Linked DNA regions of Kluyveromyces lactis. The protein of the gene in region 1 purifies or fractionates together with the protein of each later gene. This does not show direct contact. Links are inferred from orthologs where the notes say so. Each region holds a gene or a part of one and is shown on either strand. Other genes may lie near its edges.

Evidence for each region.
Region 2: the proteins of NUC1 (region 1) and KLLA0_C14300g purify together in Saccharomyces cerevisiae (affinity purification with mass spectrometry; 4 studies listed by BioGRID, with this or other methods). This does not show direct contact. The link is inferred for Kluyveromyces lactis from reciprocal best matches to the Saccharomyces cerevisiae genes NUC1 and YMR099C.

The regions. Positions count from the first base shown.
Region 1 is NC_006040.1:38,479-41,785, forward strand, and holds NUC1 (ribonuclease), read right to left. Parts: upstream 1,812-3,307; coding exon 813-1,811; downstream 1-812. Other genes in the region: PEX2 (ubiquitin-protein ligase peroxin 2), read left to right, coding at 26-760; deoxyribodipyrimidine photo-lyase PHR1, read left to right, coding at 2,937-3,307. UniProt on the Saccharomyces cerevisiae protein: This enzyme has both RNase and DNase activity.
Region 2 is NC_006039.1:1,241,763-1,244,619, reverse strand, and holds KLLA0_C14300g (glucose-6-phosphate 1-epimerase), read right to left. Parts: upstream 1,669-2,857; coding exon 778-1,668; downstream 1-777. Other genes in the region: Hsp90 cochaperone SBA1, read left to right, coding at 73-627; serine/threonine protein kinase PRR1, read right to left, coding at 2,005-2,857. UniProt on the Saccharomyces cerevisiae protein: Catalyzes the interconversion between the alpha and beta anomers from at least three hexose 6-phosphate sugars (Glc6P, Gal6P, and Man6P).

The DNA.
Region 1 (3,307 bases):
CAATACGTTATCTGTCGATCCGAATATGTCAAGGGTTGCTCAATTAGATGGAGTTTCACTTGATCTGCAGCTCACCAGGGCACTTCAATCGGATTTGGGTTTTCCTTGTCCGCAGATAGTTGTTGAAATTCTGGTATTCTTACTTGGGAGTAGGCGATGGCATCAGGGTAGTGTCGCAACATATGGTAGTGTTCTCACTGGTGTTGGCTATCAATGCTCTCGTTGGCGGTTATTTGCTGTTACCGTGGTATTAAGACATCTGTTGCATCGGTTTGAAAGGACCAATTTGGTTTACGAACTTTTAGATTTGATCCATCTTTTACAATTTTTAACGTCGGGTACAGGTGGTCCCTCTCTTTTGCATCGATTGTTCCGAGTCCCTGCAGTGTTCCAACCGGGATTCTCGTATTCTGATACTACTTCAGGATCATCAGCATCTGAGGTTCAGATGCTCTGGAATGCTTCCATTGAGATGATAGCTGGTCTATCGTTATTTAAAAACGGATTCGTTTCTGTGACAAGTACTAACGCAGCTGCGGTGGCAGCTGCAAAGGCTATTGCCGGTGGTAGTTCTTCAGTTGGGGCCCCTGGTGAGAAGTTTTCGCAAAAGAATACTTTATGCCCTGTTTGTGGTGAGGTCGCTACAAATGCATTTACAATCACTTGCTGCAATACAAGGTATTGCTACACTTGTGCGTTGGAAGTGGAACAGTCACATTGCCTAGTTTGTAATACTAAGAACCCAAAATTCTTTTGCTAAAGTGTTTATTATACCCTATATATTCACACCTAGGCCAAATCTATATACGTTATTACTTCCCAGGCAATGCTAAAACAGTATTATTAAACTCTCTTACAGTTATTTCGCACCGCACTTGTTTACACAACTCCTTCTTCTTCTCCTTTGGAACATTCTGCAACAGCTGCAGGCCGGAACTCCTTTCTAATGCATTGACGGGTACTTCAAACTCTATTAATGTTGTAGAGTTCGAAATAGGAGCATTTGGTAAGACAAATGCGGCAACGTGCAGCTCATCATCACGACCATTTCCAAGCTGCTTAGGTCTTTCAGCCACGACCAACTTGAAAAAATGCGTTGGGACTGCAATGTTAGGTGGATTTCCAATCATCTCGTATGTGACTTTGAACTTACCGTCTTTGGGGTCTCGCTTCGGCAAGTATAAGGGACCTGTCATAATTCGAACACTGTTGTATTTATCGACTAATTGTCTGCAGAAATACTCCAAATGTGCCCAGTAATCTCTATTGAAACCTTCACCCACTTGAGGGCACATATTAGTCAAATAGAAAGTATCGTCCATTGCCTGTTGGGAGAACTTCGCGTTCGCCGCAGGGGCTTGATGTCCTCTATCGTAACCGGATCTGAAATAATCCTTTAGTCGACCGCGGAACATCTCTGGAATCTGCTCGTCTTCCTTGAATATAGAGTTCTTCCTATCAGCACCCTTTGTCTTTAAGGATTCTGGTGTAATGTGCTCAAGTACCCAGTATGGGTTCCTTGTTCTCCTATCATAGCACGAGATGAACTCTTGTCTTGTTTCCAGATCATGAATTGGCCCAGGGAATCCGTACTTGAAGAATGCACCAGGATCAACGTTACTTCCAACTAACGAGACGCGACCAGCTTGGTTTGAGGAACTGGGATCTGATGGAATGTTATTGCTACTACCAGTGGATCCCGGGAATGAGGTACCAGAGTTTCCGCCAGATAGTGCACTAGATTTCCCCCAAAAGTACGACACGGTACCAACACCGACTAACGCACTAAAAGCGTTTCTTGAAAAGCTCATGGCCGGTCTATTTCCTCAGCACCAAGCGATTCAAATTACTTGACAATTAAATGATATTCTGGTGATTGCAGCTTCTGGGATGACACTCTTGTATTATTTTAGGCTGGAATGCATTACGAGAATTTTTTTTTTTTTTTTTTCACTCCGGACAGTATAATGAATAAGGGCTTAGGTCAACAATAAGTGCATGAGTTGAATATTTAGTAGCGTTTGCTAGTAGTAATGCTGCAGTAGTGCTACAGCATCACAGAATCGAGGACATCCTAGTCCTAAATAGAAGATATTTTTGTCACAGCGTCTATAGCAATGAAAGTTGTGAGCCTTATGATTGTTTTCTTGAACAAAAACCACGGATGTCATAACGATTACTATGAACATCGTACATGCTAACTGCGGCGGAAACCTATATATTACCAGTTCGAATAATAGGGCGGGTTTCTGAAAAATATTGAACCATTGAAATGGTATTTGGATTTGTCCATGTTTCGATGTTCCTTTCTGTTCATCTTAGGAAGACACAGCACGTTATCTTAGCTTCAGCATTGGGTGGAAATCGCAAGGAACCACAAACGCCCAGTTAGGTATGTATATACATTTATATGTCAGGACTACACGTTCTAAAGCAACCACTTTTGACTTGTCATTCTTGCTCATTTCCGTAGTATTTTTGCTATCAATCTTCCGACATACAAAAGAGCATGGCAAAACGGTATAGAAAACCTTAAAAGTGAGTATCTATGCCATCAGACAAAAATATTCCAATGAAACAGAACGAAGGGCGCCCCATTCCATACTTGTCATTTATTGTAAGACCAATATTTGATCAGTAGTGGAGATTGCAATCCAATTCAATACCAGTCCTGTGTGTGAGTGATTCCTTTGAAGAAAGAACAATTTACTTAAAGACCGTTCGAAACGCCGTGCTTCTCCAATATCATAAAGGAATATTATAAGACATACTGCACCAACGGTGAAATTTTCAAGACTCCGATATCAGTAATTCGAATTTTTTGTCAAGGAAGTTAAAGCTGAATAGAGGCGTGCAATTGCTTCTGATTACTACTGATTTTGAGGTTGCTACTTATTCTTAAGGCAAGGCTAATAAAAGTGGGACATAAGAAAACTATGCGGGTTGGCAACAGTAATTCTATAAAAAAAAACGTCTCCGAGTGTCTCAGTCCGAACCCTGTTTACTATCGTAATCCTATCACCTTCAAAAAAGCGAATGAGTTTAATAATGGGAAAAGGGAAAGACCTCTAGCGTTGTTGGGGGACTCTATCCATGCTGACAGCAAAAATTCAAGGCAACAGCTGGATGATACGGTTGATAACAGGCTAGTGATCCATTGGTTTAGGGGTGATTTACGTGTCCGTGATAATACAGGATTAGCGTACGCGTTGAACCAGTCAAAGAGTGGTTCTGTTGAGGCACTATACGTAATCAACGAGCACGATTGGATCGCCCATATGGAAAGCGGATGGAAATTGAAGTTCCA
Region 2 (2,857 bases), on another chromosome or scaffold:
TCAAACAAAGAGAGTACAATTGGAACAAATTACACTTAAACCGCCAATTACCAATCAATAAATCAAATTAACATGTCAGTTCACACTCCAGAAGTTTTATGGGCTCAACGTTCAAGCGAATCCGATGATACCAAGAACAATTTGTTCATTACCATCAATATTCCAGACTGTACGAACCCTAAAATGGAATTAACCGAAAATTCTTTGGAATTCAGTGCACTATCTAAGTATCACAGTAAAGATGGGATCAAATACCATTTGCACATTGACTTCTACAAGCCAATTGATACGGAAAACTCGGAGCAGAGGGTAGCTAACGGTAGAAACTACTTTTTGGTGTTAAGGAAGAAAGATTTAGGCCTTGAATACTGGCCCAGATTGACCAAGGAGAAGCTTAAGTATCATTACATTAAAACCGACTTTGATAAATGGGTTGACGAAGATGAACAAGAAGAGAATGTTGCTGCTGATAACGACTTGATGTCACAATTTGGCCAAATGGGGGGCGCTGGCTTCCCTGGAATGGAACAAGGTTTCAATCCACAAGCCTTCGCTGACGCCGGAATCAACCTGGATGAGGCATTACCAGAAGAAGATGATGAAGATGACGAAGAAAAAGCTGAATAGGTATGATCGGATGGTCTGCAAAGGCGATTTCTATCAAGATTTAATTCATTTATTTGCTGTATACAGTCATGCGCATATATAGGTGTATAAATACGAACAAAAATTTCTATTATATATTATGATATTGAGCGGCTTTGAATAAAAAGCTATTTAGACCTTTTGGAACTTCAATTCATCTTTATACAAAATCTGGGAGGCAACCCAGTTTTCGCCTGGTGCCAAAACCACGAAATCATGAACATGACCTGGTTCGACACACACCATATTTTTAAACCCATCCTTTGGTTCAAAATCTGCCATACCTTTAGATTTTTCCACCCACGGATTCCAAACGACAGTATCTGGTAGGTTGTGTCTTTTCAAGGTATGGATTGGGTACCCCTTATCGATCACTTGGATGATTCTGTCTTCGTCAACATTTTGATAAATTCTATCTAATTCTTCATGCACAGAAATCACAGGTTGTCTGTCAATATAGCTTTCCTTCAATAGTTGATCGTACAATTTGGTGCTGCTCAAATTAGAAACCAACGTATCTTCAATGTCATCAATTTTCAAGTAAGTATGGAATAACCAATTGAACTTCAAATTTTGCGTAGTGCTTGTATTTAGTACCTCAATTTCAGTTTTCAAGTATTCATCACCAAGTTCTACTGATAGCACCAAAGAGTATTCAAATGGCCACAAGTTGGTTAGCTCTTCATTAGCAAACTCAGGTCCCAAGCCTAACTGAATGGTTGGAGGGTTAGACTTCACTTGGCCCAAAAATTCCCATACGGAATTTCTTGCTAAACCGTGTTGTGGTAATTTACTTAGATGTTCATCATCATGGTTCTTACCAAAAACTGGAAAAACTAATGGAATACCACCACGAACCGGTTTGGAACCATCGAGCTTAGCAGCAGTAGATAACCATAATTGCTCTTCACCTTTTAATTCCCAGGAAAATACCGTGGCACCATACTTTAGAATTCTTGCTTTTGTTGATGAATTGTTAGGATGTGTCAGGATGATTTCAGTTTCAGTTTCCTCGATAGGCATAGTTGTTATGTAGTTTTGATTGTCAATAGTAGCACCAATTACTGATCCTAGCTTCTAGTAGTCTTCTTATTTTCCTTTCTTCTTTTATCAATTTCATCAGTGAGCGTACTGTAACGAGATTAAATTTCGTATTCAAGTTAATTCTTGGATTTTTAAGGTAACAACATTACCTACATAACAACGTTAACAATAAATGAAAGACAAGCTGGCACGCAGAATGCAATAATTGAAGATCCTAGAAGGTATACTTTTAATGAATGTTCGTTGAGTAGAATATCAGGTTTCATTAGATTTTAATGTATGTTGGTTGTGTATATAAATGCTGATCTATATAATTTATCCTTGATGGTCTAAAAACTGTAATTTATCAATAATGTTACGAATATAGGGTGTGTTGCAAAGTTGATCCATGTTCCAACGTTCGCTTTTTCTTACGAGTGTGTTCTGGACTATCTCTTTGGCAGGATGATCGGTGTCTGCATTCTTTAGCCATTTCCAGTCGCATCTTGCAATTCTATGGGCAATGGATCGGGTTCTTCTTGAACTCTGACCAGGTAAGGGGTCAAACGGCAACCTATCTTCCAACAATGCATAAGTAATTACTCCAAAGGCCCAAGCATCGCTGATTCTTCCATCATACGGAAGTCCTAAGAGAATTTCAGGAGAAACATAGTCCTCTGACCCGCAACGGGTTGTACACATTTCATCTGGGGTTATCTTCTTACAGAGACCAAAATCTGCTAACTCTACGAAATTCTTTGAAAAGAACTGGCTCTCGTCCTCTTTTAATAACATCATATCATCTAGAGTATACTTTAATAAGACGTTCTCAAGTTTAATATCCCGATGAATGATAAAATTATCATGCAAATATTTTATGGCAACGGATAATTCTGTGATAATTCTGGTGAGTAGCCAGTTTGGAATTTTAGTTTTGCTAGCCAAATCGAACAAATCACCACCAGTGCAATATGACATTATCATATCACATCTGGGTAAAGCAGAGAGCTTACGCCTTCCGTACAATGGATGTTCATCTGTAATAAACGTGGTATCATTGATTGCAAAGAGTTTCACGATACATGGATGGTGCACAGAAATTAGAGTGGTCAGTTCCCGCTTCAAAGAACTTACAACTCGACTCAATAATTCTTTGTATTTCGGAGATGACGGAGATGAGCTCATAAGT